Linked DNA regions of Rattus norvegicus. The protein of the gene in region 2 interacts with the protein of the main gene of each other region in a pairwise test. Links are inferred from orthologs where the notes say so. Each region holds a gene or a part of one and is shown on either strand. Other genes may lie near its edges.

Region 1 (7,565 bases), on a different chromosome or scaffold from region 2:
ATTGAAATAAATATGTAAAAATGCAAACAAATATTTTTTTTCTTAAATTTTTTTTGGTTGGTTGGTTTTGGTTTTTGGGACAAGGTCTCTTACTATAGCCACATTGGAACTCAAGACCAGGCTGGCCTTGAACTCAGAGATCTGCCTGCCTATGCCTGTGAGTGCTGGAATTAAAGAAATGGGCCGGGGTTGGGGATTTGGCTCAGTGGTAGAGCGCTTGCCTAGCAAGCACAAGGCCCTGGGTTCGGTCCCCAGCTCCAAAAAAAAAAAAAAAAAAAAAAAGAAGAAGAAATGGGCCAACATGCCAGGGTACAATTCTTTTTTTTTTTTTTTTTTTTTTTTTTTTTTAATGAGAAACATTAACATTTTGTTGGGTGTTTTTTGAGCACAGGTATGTTGAGGACTGAGCACAGATTCTCTCACTTAGCAAGCATACTAAGGGTGGAAGTGGCTGGAACTGTGCTCAGAGATCAGAGGATAGTTTTTAAGAAATGGTTTTCTTCTGCCACCATGGGATTGGACTAGGATCTTGAGGCTTGCATGACAAGTATTATCTTTTGAGCTGTCAGACTGGCCTTAATATCTTCTTTTAAAACATGGTCTCATTCTGTGACTCAATCTAATCCAGCCTTGAACATGCTATGTAACATGGTGACCTTGAACATCTGATTCCTCAACAATCCTATCAGCCTCCTTGGTACTGGAATTATAGGTGTGAGCCAGCACTTGTGGCCTGGTCCTTGTTTTGTTTCGTGGTGAGGCAGGGTCTTCTGTAGCCCACTGGCCTTGAACTTGCTTTGTAGCAGAGGATGAACTGCCTTGAGCATCTGAGTTCCTGACCCACCACCCAAGTGTTGGGATGGAGCCTGTGCCTCCATGGCTGAGGTCAGGTCTGAGACTTGGAAGAGGCTAATGCTGAGACCTGCTTCTGCTCTGGCTTTTGTTCTAGAAACAATGAGGCTGAGGATCAGGATTTTGAGAAGAGCAATTCCCGCAAGCGTCCCCGAGATGTTCCCCAGCAGGAGGAGGAAGCGGAGGGGAACTACCAGGAAAGCTGGCAAGCCTCAGGCAGCCAGCCCTACAGCCCTGAGCACAGACAGAAAAAGCACAGAAAACTTCCTGAGCTTGAAAGGCCTCACAAAGTGGCTCATGGTCACGAGAGGAGAGATGAAAGGAAGAGGTGTCACAAAGTGTCACCACCATATTCTTCAGACCCCGAGTCGTCTGACTATGGTCATGTTCAATCTCCTCCACCTTCAAGTCCCCATCAAATGTATACAGACCTCTCTAGGTCCCCAGAGATGGACCAGGAACCCATCGTCTCACACCCGAAGCCTGGGAAAGTCCACAGTAATACCTTTCAGGACAGACTAGGGGTTAGTCACCTGGGTGAGCACCAAGGGAAAGGGGCTGTTAGCCAAAACAAGCCACACAAATCTTCCCACAAGGAGAAACGCCCTGTGGATGCCAGGGGGGATGAGAAGAGCTCTGTCATGGGCAGAGAGAAGTCACACAAAGCCTCTTCCAAAGAGGAGAGCCGAAGGCTACTCTCAGAGGACAGTGCCAAGGAGAAGCTGCCCTCCAGTGTTGTCAAGAAAGAGAAGGACAGAGAAGGCAACAGCCTCAAGAAGAAGTTGTCACCTGCCTTAGATGTTGCTTCAGACAACCACTTTAAAAAGCCCAAACACAAGGACTCCGAGAAAATCAAGTCTGACAAAAACAAGCAGAGTGTAGATAGCGTGGACTCAGGACGAGGGACAGGAGACCCATTACCCAGAGCCAAGGATAAAGTTCCCAACAACCTGAAGGCTCAGGAGGGGAAAGTAAGAACTAACTCGGATCGAAAGTCACCAGGCTCACTCCCTAAAGTAGAAGAGATGGACATGGATGATGAGTTTGAGCAGCCCACCATGTCCTTTGAGTCATACCTCAGCTATGACCAGCCCCGCAAGAAAAAGAAGAAGGTTGTGAAAACTTCCGGTACAGCACTTGGAGAAAAAGGACTTAAAAAGAAGGACTCTAAAAGCACTAGTAAAAACTTGAACTCGGCTCAGAAATTACCCAAGGTGAATGAAAACAAGTCAGACAAGTTGCAGCCAGCTGGAGCCGAACCCACGAGGCCTAGAAAGGTAACTGACTGCTCTGTCTCTCCTGCCTGCCTGCCAAGTGTGGAAAGCCCGCCTGCCAGGCCGCTGCTGCCATATGATTTCTTTACCGTACAACCCGCCAGGCCACTGTCCTGCTGCCATTCAACTGGTTGAGTTTTGATCGTTATTAATATTCTCAGCCATGCTAGCAGTTAAGGTGGACAGTGACAGGATAAGCTTTATTCCGGGCTAGGGAGGAAGCTCAGTAGTACAGTACTCACTGAGAATGTATGAGACCCTACATTTACTTCTTAGCGCCTCACAATTTTCTAAGACATTTTTTTGCCCTATCAGCATTTATTTCAGTGACCCTAACTGGTGTCATGGGTGACTTGTAGCTCCCTCTCCTTGACCTGCTTGCCTGTATGGTATGCTTGGTTAGCCGACTGCAGGGAAGAAAGCTGGGTTCACAGGGTGGGCTCTGCACTCTCTCTTGCAGGTCCCTACTGATGTGCTGCCAGCATTGCCAGACATCCCCTTGCCCGCCATACAAACCAACTATCGTCCCCTTCCCTCCCTCGAGTTGATCTCCTCCTTTCAGCCAAAGCGAAAAGGTAATTTTGGACATCTTTTTCATTTATTTTCATTTTTTTGAAAAAGAGTCTGTTTCAAAATTGTGTAGCCTTAGAACTCACTTTGTAGAACAGGCTGGCTTTGAAGTCAGATTCACCTGTCTCTGCCTCCCAAGTGCTAGGTTTAAAGATTATATTTTTAGTTTGCCTGCATTAGTGTTTCGCAGGCATCTATGTCTGTTCACCAAGTGTGTGTGCTGCCCAAGGAGGTCCCTAGAGGAGGCTGTTGGAGCCCTTGCTGCCGGAGTTAGAAAGTGGTGGGCCGGGGTTGGGGATTTAGCTCAGTGGCCCTGGGTTCGGTCCCCAGCTCCGAAAAAAAGAAGAAAAAAAAAAAAAAAGTGATGGGCTGCCGTGTGGGGGCTCTTCACTATGGGCTGGAGATCTTTTGTGATTTGCTGGTTTTCTTCTTTCTACAGCTTTCTCTTCACCCCAGGAAGAAGAAGAAGCTGGGTTCACAGGACGCAGAATGAATTCTAAGATGCAGGTGTATTCAGGTTCCAAGTGTGCCTATCTCCCCAAAATGATGACCTTGCACCAGCAGTGTATCCGGGTGCTTAAGAATAATATTGACTGTGAGTCACCGATCTCTTGATTATGCTACTGCCCTGGGACTTTGTCACAGGGAGCTTGGCTGCCATTCAGCACTCACCTTCTCACCTCTGGTTTCTCTGCAGCCATCTTTGAAGTGGGAGGAGTCCCCTATTCTGTTCTTGAACCTGTCTTGGAGAGGTGCACACCCGATCAGCTCTACCGAATAGAGGAATGCAATCATGTGAGTGCCCTAAGTGGGAATGGCGTACCTTCCTGGCTCTTTTTCCAAAGGTAGCTTTGTCTCTGGATTGCCTTGGCCGAAGGGCAGGTCAGAGGGCAAATCACTGTTCTGGGCATGTTTGGTTTGCACGTCTCGACCTTTACACAAGCATACTTTTTGTGTCTGCTCCTGGGAGCCTTTTTGTTTTGATTGTTTGGCTAATTTTTTGGTTTTGGTTTTTTTCAAGACAGAGTTTGGTTCTCCTGGAAGTCACTGTGTAGACCAGGCTACCCTTCATACTTAGAAACCCACCTACCTCTCCCTCTCGGGTGCTGAGAGTAAAGGCGTGAGCAACTACGCCTGCTTCCTGCTATCTATCTAGTGATTTGCCTTCTTCCCAGTAGTGTGGTTCTGTAACTACTGCTACCACATCACCCTCCCTCTCCCACACCATAGGCATTGGGTCATGGGTAGGTAATGGAGAGATGTGTGGGAAAGTTGTATAGAAGTCTTGGTCCTGGTTCCAGGTATTAATTGAGGAAACAGATCAGTTGTGGAAAGTTCACTGTCACCGGGACTTTAAGGAAGAAAGACCAGAAGAGTATGAGTCTTGGAGGGAGATGTACCTGAGGCTTCAGGACGCCCGAGAGCAGCGGCTGCGCCTGCTCACAAACAACATCCGGTCTGCACATGCCAATAAGCCAAAAGGTACAGGAAGTGTGGGGTTGGGCAAGGGCATCCAGGTGGGGCTGTGTCTCCTGCCTCTGGCTGCTCAGAGATTGGGTTCACAGGACCTGAGGAGCCCTGGTTTGGAGCTCTAGAAGACTCTAGACCAGTGGTCTCTGGGTTGTGACTCCTTTGAGGCGTTCAAAAAACATTTCACTAGTTGCCTAGAACCCTAGTTTGAGGAAAACAGACAAATTTACATTACCATTCACAATAGTAGCAAAATTACAGTTAGGAAGTAGCCATAAAAAATAACTTTATGGGTGATCTGGAGAGATGGCTCAGAGGTTAAGAGCACTGACTGTTCTTCCAGAGGTCCTGAGTTCAATTCCCAGCAACCACATGGTGGCTCACAACCATCTGTAATGGGATCCGATGCCCCGTTCTGGTGTGTCTGAAGACAGCAACAGTGTACTCATTTTTCTTTTTTTTTTTTTTTTTGGTTCTTTTTTTTTTTTTTTCGGAACTGGGGACCGAACCCAGGGCCTTGCGCTTCCTAGGTAAGCGCTCTACCACTGAGCTAAATCCCCAGCCCCAACAGTGTACTCATATAAAATAAATAAATCTTTAAAAAAAAATAATAATTTTATGGTTGGGGTCACCACAACATGAGGAACTGTATTAAATGTCATAGCATTAGGAAAGTTGAGAACCACTGCTCTAGACTCTCAAATTGGGTGCCTTTCATATGAAGGTAAATATTGATGTTTTGTGTTTCTACTCAGGACGACAAGCAAAGATGGCCTTTGTGAACTCTGTGGCCAAGCCACCGAGAGATGTTCGACGGAGGCAGGAGAAGTTTGGAACCGGGGGAGCAGCTGTCCCTGAGAAAGTCAGGCAAGATCTCTGCTGCGTGGTCGTTACCCTGAAGGGGAGCTGGGGGCAGGAAGTGCCTGACTTTGTGGTGGCGGCAGGCATTGGAGAGTGCGTTCCTGAATGATTCCTGGATCTGCACTTTCCCTCTGCCTTAGTGTCCCTTCTCATTGCTGAGGTGGAGCATTTCCGTTTCTTACACGTGTGCTCCTGTAGAGGAAGGACCCGACCCTGCAGGGCGGGCTCCATCTCAGCAGGAGACTCTATCTCGTAATTAGGTGGCTCCTGAGAAATGACACCCAAGGTCGGCTTGGCCTCTACATGAACATCTCTGCCCATGGTCCCCACATCTGCATACATATACATACCAAAGCAAAACAAATTCCCAGGGTGACTACATTTTTTTTTAGGGCATGTGAGCATTTCCAAATGATAGACTGACATTTTTTTTTTTTTTTTTTTTTTTTTTTGGTTCTTTTTTTTCCGGAGCTGGGGACCGAACCCAGGGCCTTGCGCTTCCTAGGTAAGCGCTCTACCACTGAGCTAAATCCCCAGCCCCGATAGACTGACATTTTAACAGGAAAAGCTTAGTGTGACTGTCACTCTCAATAAAGGGCTGACAGCTGTATCTGATTCTTCACCAGGACTCAGTGTACCAGGCCACCGCACAGAGCCACAGCGCAGTCACCCAGTCACCCAGCAACAGCTCTGTTAGATTGTGTGCTGTGTTCCAGCTAATTATCAGCTTTGTTCCGTGTTTCAGGATTAAGCCAGCACCATATACAACAGGAAGCAGCCATGTTCCTGCCAGCAACAGCAGCAGCAGCTTCCACTCAAGTCCTGAGGAGCTGGCCTACGAAGGGCCCAGTACCAGCAGTGCCCACTTAGCTCCTGTGGCCAGCAGCTCTGTTTCCTATGATCCCAGGAAACCAGCTGTGAAGAGTAAGCAACTTTGGTGGGAGCAGGCTGTGGGCTGGTGGGGAATCTTGACACAGACGTTATCGGACAAAGAACACCAGCCAAGTCAGACTGGCCCTCCTCAGGTGTTCATGCTTATTAGCTCATCCTGAGACCCATTGCTCTGGGGGGCTGGAGGCTCTGGATACGTGTGTGTGTGTGTGTGTGTGTGTGTGTGTGTGTGTGTGTGTGTGTGTGTGTGTTACAAAGTTAAATTGTCGGCATTATGGCCCCAAAGGTCAGCAAAGACTTCTGACTGATTTGTGTCTTGAGCTATCCATGAGCACAGCAGCCAGTCTTCAAAAGCTGTAAGAGATGCTGCTGGTTCTGCACCTACGGGGTCTGCCTTAGGACGGGGTTTCTCTGGCACCTTTTCAGACAGTTCCTGCTGGTTAGTCCATTTGTGCATGGAGGTGAGATACACAGCCATGGAAAACAAACTTAGCCTGGCTTTGCTATGAACCACAGTGGCATATGTCTGTCCTGCCTCCAATCTGAAGCAACTGTCTCCTTTTTCTTCACAGAAATTGCCCCGATGATGGCCAAGACCATTAAAGCATTCAAGAACAGATTTTCCCGACGATAAACAGGACTTGCCTTGGAGGTTGAGTCTGGAAGCAGGACTACAGGGACTATGGGGACGGGAGAAGAGGATGTCCACAGAAGACCCGTATCTTTTGCTCTGTGGAACTTTTGGCCTCTGACTCCTGCACAGTTCCAGGTGTCCCCCTCTGTGCCTCAGCCCTGCACCCTGCTTGTAGCACACTTCAGATTTCTGAAGACAGTATGAGCCTCAGTCTTACTGAGGACTTTAAGATCAGTTATACTTTTGTTGCTAATTAGCATCTTTGTAAACTATAAGACATAGTTTTAATTAATAAATATTGCCCCCAGATGTATTTATAATACCCCCAGGGGTTTTTATTTTATTTTATTTTCTCTTTGGTCCACTATATTTAGCCCTTTACTTTCCAGGTCCTTTATTAAAGTTAGATGAGCCTAGCGAAAGCCATTCTTGTCCTAGTCAGCTCTTCTGAGTAGACACTGGTCCTTCAGAGCCAGTGTGTCACTCCAAACCCAGATGCAGGGCTAGGAGTGAGTGAATGCCAGGATGCCTGTCCTCCAGGGGAGCCTCCCTGCTGAAACCCCCACTGTTCCTTGGTGGGCACTTTTCTTCAGTAGATTTGTTAAGGAAGGCCGTTTGCATCATCTTCAAAGCATACTACTCTCCCCCATTTTCCAGCTCACTGGAGGACAGAGCCTAAGAGATGAACTGATGTAGGACCTCAGCAGTTTTATAATTTTAGTTTCTGGTTCAGTATTTTACACACAGACAGACACACAGACACACAGACCCTTCCTTATTTTGTCTCTCCCTGCACTGTGGGGAAACACACATGACAGGGCTTTTGTAGCTCTGATGTGGTTGGGGGGTTTGAAAAGCCAGCACTTTATTTCCTTGTTCTCTATGAATTCCTACCAGGAGTGAGTGGTTTAGAGCATTGTAGTGCTGTGAAGCTTGCTCGTGTTGGACAGGAAAGGTGCTGACGTGGCCAGAGGAGCAGCAGTGCACTGTAGCCAGCAGAGAACTCTGTGAAG
Region 2 (8,799 bases):
ATGAGGTCAGAGTCCAGGGTCAGTCCATGTATAGTCTTTAGGTAGTGGCTTAGTCCCTGGAAGCTCTGGTTGCTTGGCATTGTTGTTCATATGGGGTCTCGAACTCCTTCAAGCTTTCCAGTTCTTTCTCTGATTCCTTCAACGGGGGTCCTGTTCTCAGTTCAGTGGTTTGCTGCTGGCATTCACCTCTGTATTTGCTGTATTCTGGCTGTGTCTCTCAGGAGAGATCTACATCTGGCTCCTGTCGGCCTGCACTTCTTTGTTTCATCCATCTTGTCTAATTCGGTGGCTGTATATGTATGGGCCACATGTGGGGCAGGCTCTGAATGGGTGTTCCTTCTGTCTCTGTTTTAATCTTTGCCTCTCTATTCCCTGCCAAGGGTATTCTTGTTCCCCTTTTAAAGAAGGAGTGAAGCATTCACATTTTGATCATCTGTCTTATCTATTTTTTGTAAGTCTTGTTCTACAGCTCTGGCTGGCCAGGTCCTATGTAATCCAGGCTGACCTTGAACTCATAATCCTGCTTCATCTTGGATGACAAGCTTGAGCCACCATACCTAGTTACTATTTAATAATTTTTCTTTATTGGGAGGGCAGAAGTTAGAGCATGATTTGGAAGAGCTGGCTTTTTTTTTTTTTTCCTTTCCTGCAGATGGGACTCAGATCTTTTTTTTTTTTTAAGACTTATTTATCTACAGGACTACACTGTAACTGTCTTCACGCACACCAGAAGAAGGCATCAGATCCCTCTGGCATGAGAGTTGTGAGCCACCATGTGGTTGCTGGGAATTGAACTCAGGACCTCTGGAAGAGTGGTCGGTGCTCTTAACCACTGAGCCATCTCTCCATGGGACTCAGATCTTTAAGCTTTGCCACAAGTACCTGTCTTTCCTAGGGTTTCTACTGCTGCAGTGAAACACTGACTAAAAGGTAAGTTGGAGAGGAAAGGGTTTATTCGGCTTACACTTCCACATTGCTGTTCATCATCAAAGGAAGTCAGGACAGGAACTCACACAGGACAGGGACCTGGAGGCAGGAGCTGATGCAGAGGCCATAGAAGGTGCTGCTGCTTCCTGGCTTGCTCCTCATGGCTTGCTCAGCCTTCTTTCTTTATAGAACCCAGGTGTTGTTTTTTAACAAAATTTCAATCGTTTAATTTTACCAATGAAGACTCAGGAACGAGACAGAGAAAGCACCCAGCTGACCTTTCTCCATAGCCAAGAACTCAAAAGGCCTTTCTATATGCTGTCTCAAGAACTCTTCAAACAGAATGTCCTCCCTTCTACTTCCTGTCTCTGTCCTCCTGACTCTCTTTTATTCTCAGATTTTTTTTGTTCACTTCCTCCCAGCTCATTGCCTGCTCTGTCTCTTGACCTAAGGTGGACTATATTTAATCCTGTTTACAATATCCAAGCAGAAAGCCCTTGGGTTAAAGGCATGGACTAGGGCTGAACCACACCACAACTAGAAACAGATTTTTTTTTCCCCAGTAAACAACACAATGTTGGGATTCACAGTGTGATCAGAAATCCTGCAACACCAGGACCACCAGTCCAGGGATGGCACCATCTGCATGGGCTGGGTCCCCTCCATCGATCACTAATTAAGAAAATGCCTTATAGGCTTGTACTTTTGGAAGCATTTTCTTTCCTCTTTTCCTCCCTCTTTCTTTCCTTCACTCTATTTATTTCCTTCTTTCTATTTGTTTTGTTTTTTGAGAAGGGGTTTCTCTGTGTAATCCTGGCTATCCTGGAACTCACTCTGTAGACCAGGCTAGCTTCCAACTTAGAGATCCACCTGCCTCTGCCTCCCAAGTGCCAGGATCAAAGGTGTACACCTGACATGGAGGCATTTTCTTAATTGAGGTTACGTCCTCTCAGATGACTTTAGCCAGTGTCAAGGTGATGTCTTTATGACGCTATGTAACATAGTACCTTTACCCGCTGAGCTGTCCTCCCAACCCTAATGGAGTCTTGGATCATGTAAACGTTGGGTGAGAAAGAGGTACAGAGGGTTTGGCAACCCTGACCCAAGACACTCCAATCAGATCCTTTTACCATTTTGGACAGTGGGAAAGTCTGGAGGGCCAAGCTCTAGCTGCCTGGCACCCAGCACGAGCTGTGTGGTTAAAGGGACCAGCTTGGGAGAAGCTAATTTCCTCTTAGGTCGGGATGCTTCATCTACTAATGGAATCAGCCACAGGGTAATGAGAACAGCAGACCTGATAGGGAAGCCCTAGTTTGTAGTGTAATTCTAAGTAAAACCATTGTCTAGGGTAAACATTAGCATGGAATGGTTTTCATTGTATCTCTGATAAATAATAGAATGAATAGTTCTTTTCTAGAAGGACGTAGACCTGGAAGGAATTATTGTGGAAAATGGCGGTTGTTTCCTGTGATTGATAGAGTTGTATTACTGAAGGAGCTTCATGGCATTTCCATGACTTTGGTCACAGCTCCAGGCACACCTGGAGTGCTGTGCTTTATTGGGTACTGGAGACAGCGTACAATAAACATGAAGTCACAGAGGTGTGATGTCTCCTTCCCTAAACATAGGTCAGGTCAGGGGCTTTGTTATGAGGAACCAGTTTCACCCAAACACTAACTTCTCTGTAACAATCAGTAAATACGCCTTTGTACAGTTGTTCAAGATTCAGTCTGCAGTGGCTGGCTCTCCCTGGGGCCAGCAAGGCCTTACCACATCCTTGAGTGGCCTGCTTTCTTCCATCATGAGACTCAGAACACCGACACTGGTTGGAGCACAGTCACTGGCCTCCTCATTACGTCATAATAGTCGAGCTGTGATGTCATTGCACAGCACCCACTCAGTACGTTTTGAAAGCGAAGTACATATGTGAAGGAAGAGTCAGCATGAGGACTAGACACCCAGAGAGAGGTAGGTGGAGGCTGGGCAGGGCTTCCGTGGCCCTAGCCTCTTTCCCAACTTGGACATCTTAGTTTGATGGTGGGTTGATCTGAACTCTTTCTTTTTTTTTTTTTTTTTTTTTTGGTTCTTTTTTTTCGGAGCTGGGGATCGAACCCAGGGCCTTGCGCTTCCTAGGCAAGCGCTCTACCACTGAGCTAAATCCCCAACCCCTGAACTCTTTCTTTCACAGAGAGCTTTAATGTAGCTTTTCCTGTTTCAAATCCATCCCAGATTCCCAACACCTGCACTGGTGACCATTCAGCCTTAGAGCTCCCCTGACCTCTGGCATTTCTTAGGAGAGGAGACACCAAACACTGGACGAAACCGAACATGGTCATTTGGTTACACAGTCGAGTAAAACTTCTGTATCCTAAAGTATACAACTTTTAAGAAGAAAATACAAATTTTATTTTTTAAGATTTATTTATTTGTTTACTTATTTACTTATTATCTGTAAGTACACTGTAGCTGTCTTCAGACACACCAGAAGAGGGCGTCAGATCTCATTACAGATGGTTGTGAGCCACCATGTGGTTGCTGGGATTTGAACTCAAGAACTTTGGTAGAGCAGTCAGTGCTCCTAACCACTGAGCCATCTCTGCAGCCCGAAAATACAAATTTTAAATACAAGATTGGGCATAAAGTGAACGTTTAAGGACTGGGGAAATGCAAATCAGTTACAGTTTTTAAAAAGCTGATGAAAGGGGGTCAGTGGTAGAGCGCTTGCCTAGGAAGCGCAAGGCCTTGGGTTCGGTCCCCAACTCCGGAAAAAAAAGAACCAAAAAAAAAAAAAAAAGAGAGAGCTGAGGTGGAGAGCTATCAAGGAAGATTTGGCATCAATCTAAAACACTCGTGAACCCCCACATACATGCACGCTACCAAAAAAAAAAAAAAGCTGATGAAAAATTACCTACCTGGCAAACAATTTTTTTTCCATGTGTTTGGATACCAAAAAAAATCAGATTGAACTTTTTTGTTTTTGTTGTTTGTTTGATGGGAGGTCTTACTATATAGCCCCAGCTGTCCTGGAACTCACTATGTAGACCAGGCTGTCTTCAAACTCACAGAGATCCACTTACCTCTGCCTCCTGAGCGATGGGATTAAGGGTATGCACCACCATACCTGGCTTATTTGTGTGTGTTCAAGACCCACACATAGAGACAGAGGGCAACTTTTTGGGATGGCGTCCCTCTTCCAGGGTGTGGTTCCCCTAGAATGAAACCTAGGTCAGCAGGCCAGGCAGCAGGCGCCTGCACCCATCGCGCTGTACCCACCCTGCTGCACTGACAGCCTTTTCATAGAACAGGTAACTAATACTTACTGCAAAGAATAAGGTTCTGAACCATGGTGGCACACGTCTCTAATCCAGCACGGGGGAGGCAGAGGTAGTTGGATCTTTCAGTTAGAGGCCAGCCTGCTCTTCAGTGAGTTCCAGCACAGCTAAGGTAACAGAAAAACCCTGTATGGAAAAACAAACAAGAAAGGATTTCAGTTTTCTAGCATACTGTTAATTTTCAGGTTATGGTAATTTTAAAAGAATTACACATTGTGACTTGTGGAGTATCCACCAGAGAAGACTGCCCGGACACGGGTTTTAGCCAATAGGAAGTCTATGAGTCAGCTGGTGACAATACTGGGTACTCAGGGTCCCAATAGAGCTCTGATCCTTTCTCAGAGTGAGCTTTTAAGCACAAAAACCATGTCTTCAGTTAACAACAGAAGTGGAACTAACAAGCTAACAAGCAAGGTTAGTATATCTTGAGACTTTCCCAGAACTCTCATCAGCTTCGATGGATTGGGCCTTTGTTTTTGTTTAGCAGGAGGCTATCTCCGTGCTGAGTCTTACAGCCTAAATGGTATTTCCATCATGGAGTCAGTTGTGGCAAGGTCTGGGGCCTGTTACAGTGATTATGTTATAAAAAAATTTCAGGGGGTTGGGGATTTAGCTCAGTGGTAGAGCACTTGCCTAGCAATCGCAAGGCCCTGGGTTCAGTCCCCAGCTCTGGAAAAAAAAAAAAAAATTTCAGACCAAGCATAATAGCTCACACTGGTAATTCTAGCCCTCAGGAGGCCAATGGAGAAGAATTGCCTGGAGGCAAGGTTAGCCTAGCAGGTGAATGAACCTTGGCTACTATTGAGAATGTGTCTTAAAAGACAGACAGCATTTTTTCCAAACTCGGAAAAATGGACCATTTCTTTCATATTTGGTGTAAGGTATTAGACTAGGGATGGCAGAACAAAATGGCGGAAAGGAAGCATCTTGTACCTTTTTTTTTTTTTAAAGATTTATTTATTTATTATATATAAGTACACTGTAGCTGTCTTCAGACATACCAGAAAAGGGCATCCAATCTCATTACAGGTGGTTGTGAGCCACCATGTGGTTACTGGGATTTGAACTCAGGACCTCTGGAAGAGCAGTCAGTGCTCTTAACCGCTGAGCCATCTCTCCAGCCCCACCTTTTTTTTTTAAACATTTATTTATTATGTATACATCATACAGCGTTCTGCCTGCATGTATGCAACTACAGGCCAGAATCAGGGCACCAGACATGATTACTGATGGTTGTGAGCCACCATGTGGTTGCTGGGAATTGAACTCAGGACCTCTGGAAGAGCAGACAGTGCTCTTAACCGCTGAGCCATCTCTCCAGCCAAGCGCTCTACCACTGAGCTAAATCCCCAACCCCTATTTTTTTTTCTTTTCATGTAATTAGTTTTTGTCCGGGTTCTGTTTTCAGTGCTGGGGCTCCCACCTCTATTACTGAGCGAAGACCAGAAGCCCAAGATGAAGATAATAATTCCATTCTGAGCTTTTTCCTTATCGTAGTCTCCTCCACCCCCACGCTCGCTGCCCCTGGACTTGGCCTTGAATGTGATCACTCTGCCTCTGCCACTCGGAGTGCTGGGATTACAGCTGTGTGCCACCGTGTCACTGGACCTTCACATGGTTCCCCGTGTACAGTCCCAGCCATGTCAGAATCTCCCTGTTAGGACTACAGTCAGGTTAGATCGTGTTAGAGCTTAAGACATTAATCGCCGCCTCCAAGACCTCCAGATCCCGCACTGTGAGACACTGGAGTTGCCCACTGCTGTTTTACCATGGAGAAGGAAGGACATTCAGTCCAGAAACTGTGTCTGCCATGGGGTAATACGTTTTTAATAGGCATAACTGAAGGGGCTGGAGAGATGGCTCAGCGGTTAAGAGCACTGACTGCTCTTCCAGAGGTCCTGAGTTCAATTCCCAGCAACCACATGGTGGCTTACAACCATCTGGGATCCAGTGGGATCTGATGCCCTCTTCTGGTGTGTCTGAAGACAGCTACAGTGTGCTCACATACATGAAATAAATAAAATCTTTAAAAAAAATAGGCATAACTGAAAAGTCACATAAGTACCCTACTAAGCCCCAACTAATGTTTTCCTAGCTCAGCCAATCTCAAGATGTCCATGGCAGTCATTGCCAATGGACAAAGGGGGAAGCTTGATGGAGGGAGAATTAAGAAAGGAAGGGCACATCGATCTTAGCAAGTTTGCCTTTCCACTAGGTATATTTCCAAACGTTACAACGACTTACCACCATGTTAACACGTTGCTGGGCTTCTCAATGCTTTGCAAGAGGTCTGTTAAGGGAGAGACTCTGGAACTCCATAGGCCAATTATTCCTCTGGTCAGCCAGTACCTCAGCCATTCAAAAGGAGGACTTTCTTTTTTTTTTTTTTTTTACTTTAATTTTGTTTTGTTTGTTCTTTCAAGATAGGGTTTCTTTGTGTATCAGCCCTGACTGTCATGAAATGTACTCTGTAGACCAGCCTGGCCTCAAAATCACAGAGATCCTCCTGCTTCCACCTCCTGAGTGCTGGGATGTTGTAGTAAATATTTAAAAAAAAAAAAAAGATACACCATATTGCCAGCTCTGGTGGGCCAGGCAGCATCTGCGGGGGTATTTTCATCTTAATCAGCAAATCATCTCAACCCGACTCGCTAAGTGTCCAATTTCCATCCCATGCTGCCGCTGGCTACTCTCTGTCTCTCCGCCTCAGTGACTAGCCCCATCAGTGACCATCCACCTAGTTTCCAAGACTGCCATGGTCGCTGCCACCCCAGCTCCATACAGAGACCGCCTATCTCGTGGCTCTCTTGCTGCAGACTCATTCCCAGCATCTGCCCCCTGTGGTTATAGTCAAAACTCCCAGTATCCCGGTAAAATCAAAACTCTAAAAGCTTATAATTTATCTATCAGATTTATATCCGTAAATTCTCACCCCATAAAACATCCATACAATAATTCTGAACCAATTAATATTGATATAAACTGCCCACCTAGATAAGACAAATTGTCCTATAAAAATCTATTCCTTATAAAATATTCATAACTACCTGTGACCCTTTAAGGCCACACAGATCTGGGTTGTTTTTCTCTGCCTCCATTTTGGTTCTTCTTCCACCTTCTCCTCTCTCTCCCCTCTCCAAAACTCTGTGCCTGCCTTACCTTTTCTCTGCCCAGTCACACACCTTGCCTTATCTTGTGCCTGCCCTCACCTGCATATAGACAACAATACACACTGGGATGAAAAGTGTGTGTCACTACACTCTGCTAGGACATTTTGTTTTTAAAGATGTATTTATTTAATGTATATGTGTACACTGTAGCTGTCTCCATACACACCAGAAGAGGGCACCAGATCTCATTACAGATGGTCGTGAGCCACCCTGTGATTGCTAGGATTTGAACTCAGGACCTCTGGAAGAACAGTCAGTGCTTTAACCACTGAGCCATCTCTCCAGCCCAGGACATTTTTTTTTAAATGACCTTTTTTGAGTGTGCGCCTGGGTGCATAAATATGTGTATGAATGGGCTCATGCTATGGGCAGTGTGGTGGTCAGAGGATAACTTTCTGGAGTCAGTTCTCTCCATCATGTGTGACCCGGGAACCAAACTGATGGCATTCGACTCAAGCACTCAGGCCTGGCAGCGGGCGTCTTTGCTGCTGAGACCTCTTGCAAGCCCGAGGAAAAAAAAAATCTCACCAAAGATGGGAGCCTTTGAGGATAACATGAGCCCCTGGTCGTAAGTACAAGAAGAGTTGAGACGGTTGTTATCCTGCTAATCACAGGCTCCTTTTGTGTTTGTGTTTGGATGACTGCTCAGTAATTTTCACACCCAAGTCCACAGCAACTTCTAAATCCAGAGGTTAAAGCTCATAGTAAACCTAGAACAGGGGTTTCTTCTTTTTGTGTATTTTTTCCCTCACACCAACCCCCTCTTTTGACTATCTCACTTTGAAATGTTTGAGTATTCCGTGCCATAAGTGTCTGTGTACCACGTGCATGCAGTGCCCACAGGGGCCAGAACCTTTCCAGAGTCAGGTGTTTGCTTCCCACAGACGGCTGGCTCCTCCCTCAGTTCCCAGCCATTCGAGCACAGATTCTTCCCAAGCAATCCAGTCCAATAGAGTGTTGTGAGGGGAATGATCTGCTCACTGGTAATTAAGGGCTACCCAGCTAAGACGTCCCATTTCTCCCTTTCTTCATCTTCCTACCAAACAATGGACATTGTATCCCTTTCTTCATCTTACCCACCAAACAACGGACATTGTATATTGTGACTCAGAAGAATGTCTTGTAAATATCAACAGCTGTGTCTCAAAGCCTGGTAGATAAAAGTTACCCTAGATTTTACCAACAAAGACCTGGGAGCCCGATGCTGGGGGGAAAGCCTGCTAGCTCAGAGAGATAAAGCAACCAGCTGCCCTTCCTTTACAGCCGAAGTCCCACCAGCAATGCCCCTCTCTCTCACGAAGTCTTTAAAAAATATCCTTCGAACTGAATGTCCCTCCCTTCTACTTTCTCCGGGTCTCAATATCTGTCCT
Region 3 (7,188 bases), on a different chromosome or scaffold from region 2:
CAGACTAGGCAAGCCTTCTGCTGCCGAGCTACAGCCCCGGCAAGCATCTAATTATTCTTTCTAAAGCCAGTGCAGGAATAATCTGAAGATTCAGGGTCTGGAACAGCTCAGATCAGGAAACCCCAACTAAAGAGCCAGGGTTGGGAGTTGGAGGGAGGCAGTAGCCTGTCTTTCTTCTCCCGCATCCCACTGACCGGCTCGGCGCTCCCCACAGGCCCGGGCCTCTATGCAGGCTGAGATGGAGCTGAAGAAGGAAGAGGCGGCCCGGCAACGGCAGCGCATCGCGGAGCTGGAGGAGATGCAGGAGCGGCTGCAGGAAGCTTTGCAACTGGAGGTGAAAGCTAGGCGAGATGAGGAGGCCGTGCGCCTCGCCCAGACCAGGTAGGCACGGTAGCCAAGGGAACCTTTCCTGCCAGCGCCAACGCGGACCCTCCTGGGCTCTGAGACGTCCCTGTGCACTCCGGCAGGCTGCTGGAGGAGGAGGAGGAGAAGCTGAAGCAGCTGATGCATCTGAAGGAGGAGCAAGAGCGCTACATTGAGCGAGCGCAGCAGGAGAAGCAGGAGCTTCAGCAGGAGATGGCGCTGCAGAGCCGTTCCCTGCAGCAGGCCCAGCAGCAGCTGGAGGAGGTGCGGCAGAACCGGCAGAGGGCAGACGAGGACGTGGAGGTGAGATTCCGACCGGGAACCGTAGAAGATGGGGGAGGCAGTATGTCATAGCTCCCACCTCCAGACCTGTCTTCAAACTCGCATTATCCTCAGCTGGCTGTGTTATCGCCTACAAATTGCCTAAACTGTCTGAAGTCTCTCATCCGGGAGAGGAAGCAGTGTATTTTATGCGTGGTATTTAGTATGCAAATGCCGAATCTCATGCAGCTGGTTTGCCAATAGTGCTATAAACCTGGGTAGAATCCCTCCCCGCCCCACCCCCAAACACTTCCTAGAGCTTGAATGCCCGTAGAAAAGGTTCTAGTTTGGTATATTGTCGTTGTTTTGGTGGAGTTTTTAAAAAATCTTTTGTTAAACTTTTTAAAATGTATGTGTATGTGTGCTTTGCCTGCATGAATGTCTGTGCACCACGTGCGAACAGTGCACATAGAGGCCAGAAGGTGTTAGTTGTTGGATCGACTGGGTCTGGAGTTACAGTTCTAAGCCACCATGTGGGTGGGAGAACCCAACCCCGGTCCTCTAAAAGCAGCCAATGTTTTTACTACTGAGCCATCTCTCCAGCCTAATTATGTATTTTTATTTTATTTTATTTTTTAAAATGTATTTATTTATTATATATGAGTACACTGTAGCTGTGTTCAGACACACCAGAAGAGGGTATCAGATCTCATTACAGATGGTTGTGAGCCACCATGTGGTTGCTGGGATTTGAACTCAGGACCTCTGGAAGAGCAGTCAGTGCTCTTAACTACTGAGCCATCTCTCCAGCCCATATTTTTAATGTTTTTAAAAATTTTTTAGACTTATTCCTTTTATGTATGTGAGTACACTGTAGCTGTCTTTAGACACACCAGAGAAGGACATTACAGATGGTTGTGAGCCACCATGTGGTTGCTGGGATTTGAACTCAGGACCTCTGGAAGAGCAGCCAGTGCTCTTAACCTCTGAACCATCCCTCCAGCCCTTGCCTTTAGTTTTTCGAGACAGAACTTCTCTGTGAAGCCTTGGCTATCCTGAAACCCACTCTACAGACCAACAGCCCAGTTAAAAATAAATTTTTTTATTGTTGTTGTTGTTGTTGTTGTTGTTGTTGTTTTCGGAGCTGGGGACCGAACCCAGGGCCTTGCACTTGCTAGGCAAGCGCTCTACCACTGAGCTAAATCCCCAACCTCTAAAAATAAATTTTTAAAAAGCATTTATTATTTATTTATTTATTTATTTATTTTTTTGTCTGGCTGGCAGAGTCATTGGAAAAACAACACAGAGACTGGAGAGGTGGCCCAGTGGTTAAGAACACTTGTCACTCTTACAGAGGACCCAGGTTTAGCCCCCAGCACCCAGCTCACAGCCACCTACGACAACACAGAAATGTTAACATGGGAAGGAATGGATCTGCCCACCCACCGGACCCCTGCTTAGGGCTCTGAATGCTGGAGCAGACTCTCCTGTGAGGTCCAGGAGAATTTTGTCCTACAGCGCTTTGAGTGCTTTGGTACCCAGCCTATGTTCCTGGGTAGGACACTGAACGTGTTTCAAATCTGACTGTTGTTAACTTTTGTCTAGGAAGTTAGATAAATTTGTAAAGGCACTCAGCATATCTTAGCAGCTCGGTAGATGATGATGGTGGTGGTGATGATGGTGAAGACTGTATATATATATATGCCCAACATGCATGCAAGACTCCTCAGAGGCTGGAAGAAGGCATTGGATCCCCTTGGGACTGGAGTTACCATAGTGCTGTGAACCAAACCTGGGTCCTGTGCAAAGATCAGCAAGTGCTCTTAACACTCTCAAATTCCCTTCCCCCATCCTTTTTGGGGCAGGAGCTCCTGCAACCCGCACTGGCCTCTAACTCATTATGTAGCACAGGCCTTGACCGCCCTTTGTGTCTACATCCCAAGGGCTAGCACTACAGGCATGCGCGGCCATGCCCAGCCTTCCTAGGGAGGAGCTGGGTAGCTGTGATCAGATTCTCAGGGCCTCTGAGCCTGACGGGGACAGCAGAACTCCACGGATGGCAGTTCTGACCCACTCCCACTACCTTGCCCTGCAGGCTGCCCAGAGGAAGTTGCGCCAGGCCAGCACCAACGTGAAACACTGGAACGTCCAGATGAACAGGCTCATGCATCCGATCGAGCCTGGAGGTGAACCTTCCCCAGTTTGGGAGGGAGAAAGGGAGGCTGCCAGATCTCCCGGGTCACGGAGGTGGAACTGAAAGATCAAAGGTCTCCCAGGGCCGAGGCATGAGCCTCTCTTCTCCCATTCCGACTCACTTTCCCCTTTTGTCCGTCTCTTCTCTCCACCAGATAAGCGTCCCACCACCAGCAGCTCCTTCACCGGCTTCCAGGCCCCTCCGCTCGCCCGCCGTGACTCCTCTCTAAAGCGCCTGACCCGCTGGGGGTCCCAAGGCAACAGAACCCTCTCGGCCAACAGCAGCGAACAGAAGTCCCTCAATGGTGGGGACGAGACTCCCATCCTGGCTTTGGCCTCTCAGGAAGAGAAACTGGATGCAGCGCCAGAAAATTAGCCTCCGATGAGACCCCCTTGTTCTTCCGATGCTGTGTCCACGGACCTGGTCCCAGCAGACCTGTGGGTGACTCCCGCCTCTGGTAAAGTCCTGGTGCTACCACCTGCTGACCAAAAGCCAGTCCAGGATCGGACTAGGTTGCCATTCTCAGCAGGCCGAGACCATGGAGGCTGTCCGGGATATTAATACTTGAGAATATGGTTTTGTCCTAAAGAACACTGGGGCCAGAGCTGGGAAAGATGAGGAACGACCAAGATGCCCCTTAGGCTGGAGAGATGGCTTAGAGCACTGTCTGCTCTTCCAGAGGTCCTGAGTTCAATTCCCTGCAACCACATGGTGGCTCCCAACCATCTGTCATGGGATCTGGTGCCCTCTTCTGGCCTTCGGGCACATATGCAGGCAGAATGCTGTACACGTAACATAAATTTTTCTTAAAAAAAAAAAAATAAAAAAAGATCACACGCCCCTCCCTCCAGATCGAGTCACAGAGACATACTTCCAAATAAAACTGCTCACACCTCCCCACTGCTCCTGCCCCTTCCTCCCTCCCTCCCTCCATTTATCCCTCCCCCCACCTTGAGTTCAAGTTCTAGGTCTCTGGGGCAGCAGGTGTGGTGAGGCAATTAAGGAACACGGACTGTGGGATGAACTCAGCTCTGCCACTTTCTCACAGGTGAACTTCATCCCCCAACATGGGCCTATGGAGAGGGTCATAGCCCCTGATGTAGCCTCCTGAGTGGAGCTCGCGCTTGGCACAGTTGCGAGCACTGTCATCACTAGTGTCTGAGGTGTTTATTGAGCATTTACTGTCTACCCTGAGGCCACCCACATTACTTCATTCCCAACGAAACCCTAAGTGCTGAGTGACTGTTATGTTAACTGAGCTTCTCCCAGACAAGACATCTGAGATTCTAGACTCCACGGAGTTTGCTTCCACTTCTATATCCCTCATCCCAAACCTGGGACGTCCACTGGGATCACCGTTCTTTATATCCTTGTAACTCTCTCTAGAATGGTTTGTGTCTAGACTGTCCCCTCATTCGTGTGTCGGATGCCTGTCTCCCAGCTAGGGCACTATTTCTGGGAGACCGTTGAGCCTCCGGCAGGTGGGACCTTCCTGAAAAGAGAGTCACTCTATGCTCTCTGCTTGCTGTCCTCCCAGATGTAAACACCCTCCGATGGACCTACTTCCTCATGCCGCCCGCATCATGATGGAGTGAGAGTCCTCTGAGACCTAAGCCGGAAGAAGTCTTTCCTCCCTTCAGTTGTTTGTGTCAGTGTCACAGTGACACAGAGGTCATTAATACAACCCCCTTCCCCATCCTCATAGCTCAGAGTTCGAACCATTGACTTCTCCATTTGCCCCCACATTTAATAAGTCAGTATCCCTGTGGTGCTATGGCCAGTGGCCACTGCCTTACGCCAGTCTCTGTCAGCTCCTCATTAAATAAGAGCTTCCCTGGCACTCTTCCAATTCTGTTCCCTGGGTGGGATTTCCAAACAGCAGGGGTGTTGCTCCCTTCCAGACTCCTGCTGCTGTCCAGAAGGCTTTGTAGTGATTAAGACTGGCTCTCACTCTGTGTAGCCCAGGATGCCCTCCAACTCAGCAAGCTCCTGCCTGAGTCTTTCAAGGGCTGGGGTTACAGGTAAGGACAATCAGGCTCAGTTATATCCAAGAGTTAATTTAATTATATTCTCTCTCTCCTCTCTCTCTCTCTCTCTCTCTGCATGTGTGTGCACATGTGTGTGTGTGTGTGTGTGTGTGTGTGACTCTGTCCCTTTGTCTCTTTGTCTGTCTGTGCATGTGTCTCTGTCTCTCGGTGTGTCTCTGTCTGTTTGTCTCTTGGGCTCTGTATCTTTGTGTGTCTCTGTCTGCTCTGTGTGTGTCTCTGTGTGTCTCTGTCTGCTCTGTGTGTGTGTCTCTCTGTGTGTCTCTGTCTGTCTGTCTCCCTGTCTCTGTCTATCTGTGTGTATCTTTGTCTTTCTGTGTCTCTGTGTCTGTCTCTCTCTGTGTGTGTCTCTGTCTTCTCTGTCTCTCTAAATCTGTCTCTGTGTTTCTTTCTGTGTGTGTCTCTTTGTGTCCGTATCTCTGTGTGTCTGTCTTCTCTGTCTCTTTGCATGTGTGTGTCTCTGTCTGTCTGTGTGGTGTGTCTCTGTGTGTTCCTGTCTCTCTCTCTGTCTCTGTCTCTGTCTCTCTCTCTGTCTCTCTCTCTGTGTGATGGTGAGCGTGTAGATGTCAGAGGACAACTTTCAGGGGTCAGTTCTCTCTCTCTACCATGTGGTACCAGGAATCAAACTCAAGACACCAAGTTTGGCAGCAGGTGCCTTTACCTGTCGAGCCATCACCCTGGACCTGCAGCTTGACTTTTGTGGGTCACATTTACTTGCCCCTGTGCACTGTGGGACACGAGGGCCTTGCTCATCAAGCCAAGAAGACCTGCTACAGTTCTACCTCAGGGGTATAGCCTCGGCTTCTCCCTCTCACTCTTCTAGGTCTCACCACGAAGTCCTTCCTCCTCATTTCCAAATGTTGGAGGTCCTTGAAGGCAAGGACATGTCTTCCTCAACGCTGTCCCCAATGCCTGGCACAGGGTTTGCTCCTGAGAAAGCTGTGTGAGCGAGTGCAATGCACGACTGGGCGTGGAGCAGTTAGAATGTGAGGATACTGCTGCGACTGCAGCTCAAGCCCGTCCAGCATGGAACCTGGTGATTCCTTACCATGGGCCAGGCGTTATGCTGGGTGTGAGCTGTTACCCGGGTTCCCGCCCTGGCGTGAACTATTATAGGGGAAGGGTTCCCGCCCTCCCGGAGCTTGCTCCTCGCTATCTGATCACAAAGTTCGCAGCTCCTGCAAGTGCACCCGATGCTCTTTCAAGGAAGTGTGTGACGTTTAAAGTGCCATGAAACAGCCACTAGCGTGAGAAGGTGCAGAGCAGAGGGACGGGATGTGAAGCCCAAAGTCCGTGTGCTGTGGGAATAACTAAACTGGAGGAGAGGGAAGCAGGTGCCAGGACTATGAGTGGAGGCTGCCCGGGCTTGCCTGGTCTGCTTTGTTTCTGCAGAGCTTAGTACAGCAACTAGGGCTTTGTGAATGTCTCCTTCTTACCGCTCACTGTTCAGGGGCTGCCTCTCCAGCACAGCCCTAGCTCACACTTCTTTACTTATTAATTCATGCTTCAGGCTGCCCTCGGGCTCACCCTCGCCCATGCTGGTCTGCACTCACCATCGTTCTGACAACGGTCACTCAAATACTAAGATTTCAGGTGTGTGCTACCAAGCTGGCAAAGCCCTCAGGGTCCCATGAACACGAAGATCATGGCGCCATGGAACAAGTAGGCCCAGAGAAGCACTTCATACTTAGGGTACAACAAAGGTAACTGCTGGGGCTGGAGAGATGGCTCAGAGGTTAAGAGCACTGTCTGTTCTTCCAGAGGTCCTGAGTTCAATTCCCAGCAACCACATGGTGGCTCACAACCATCTATAATCAGGTCTGGTGCCCTCTTCTGGCCTGCAGGCATACATGCAGGCAGAAAGGTGTATGACGTATACATAAAAAATAAATTAAAAAAAAAAAGAGATAATGATCCTGACTCATATTTGGGGTTGGGGATTTAGCTCAGTGGTAGAGCGCTTACCTAGGAAGCGCAAGGCCCTGGGTTCAGTCCCCAGCTCCGAAAAAAAGAACCAAAAAAAAAAAAAAAGAGTTGGATCCATGCTGTGTGGAGAAGGCATCCTGGACTTCAATCATCTTTACTTGCTCATTTTGGTGAGAGAGAAAGAAAAAAAAAAAAGTTGGATCCGTTTCAGTTCCCAAGCACTGTCGACTGAAACTGTCTTCTCATGTTTTCAATCCCACCGTCTCTGCTTTCAAAAGGGAGTCTGACCATCCCTGCATCCACTCACCCTCTTGCAAGAGCAGACTATCCCTGAGAGTCAGGAGTTCCAAGTCCCTGGGAGCTGCTGCTGTCCTCTGACCTCCTGCTCTTCAGGATAGA

Evidence for each region. The genes of interacting proteins can lie anywhere in the genome.
Region 1: the proteins of Homez (region 2) and Eloa interact in binary tests that used the Homo sapiens proteins (3 or more experiments, as listed by UniProt). The two-hybrid records come from large-scale screens. The link is inferred for Rattus norvegicus from reciprocal best matches to the Homo sapiens genes HOMEZ and ELOA.
Region 3: the proteins of Homez (region 2) and Def6 interact in binary tests that used the Homo sapiens proteins (3 or more experiments, as listed by UniProt). The two-hybrid records come from large-scale screens. The link is inferred for Rattus norvegicus from reciprocal best matches to the Homo sapiens genes HOMEZ and DEF6.

What each region holds. Positions count from the first base shown.
Region 1 is NC_086023.1:153,514,439-153,522,003, reverse strand, and holds the end of Eloa (elongin-A), read left to right. Parts: intron 1-949; coding exon 950-2,129; intron 2,130-2,586; coding exon 2,587-2,701; intron 2,702-3,135; coding exon 3,136-3,291; intron 3,292-3,393; coding exon 3,394-3,491; intron 3,492-3,997; coding exon 3,998-4,178; intron 4,179-4,921; coding exon 4,922-5,033; intron 5,034-5,772; coding exon 5,773-5,951; coding exon of another isoform or gene 5,952-6,079; exon of another isoform or gene 6,080-6,490; coding exon 6,491-6,552; 3' UTR 6,553-6,874; downstream 6,875-7,565. UniProt on the Homo sapiens protein: SIII, also known as elongin, is a general transcription elongation factor that increases the RNA polymerase II transcription elongation past template-encoded arresting sites.
Region 2 is NC_086033.1:32,303,521-32,312,319, reverse strand, and holds the start of Homez (homeobox and leucine zipper protein Homez), read left to right. Parts: upstream 1-2,845; 5' UTR 2,846-2,870; coding exon 2,871-2,895; intron 2,896-8,799. UniProt on the Homo sapiens protein: May function as a transcriptional regulator.
Region 3 is NC_086038.1:6,288,057-6,295,244, forward strand, and holds the end of Def6 (differentially expressed in FDCP 6 homolog), read left to right. Parts: intron 1-214; coding exon 215-381; intron 382-467; coding exon 468-666; intron 667-2,719; coding exon 2,720-2,810; intron 2,811-2,972; coding exon 2,973-3,193; 3' UTR 3,194-3,668; downstream 3,669-7,188.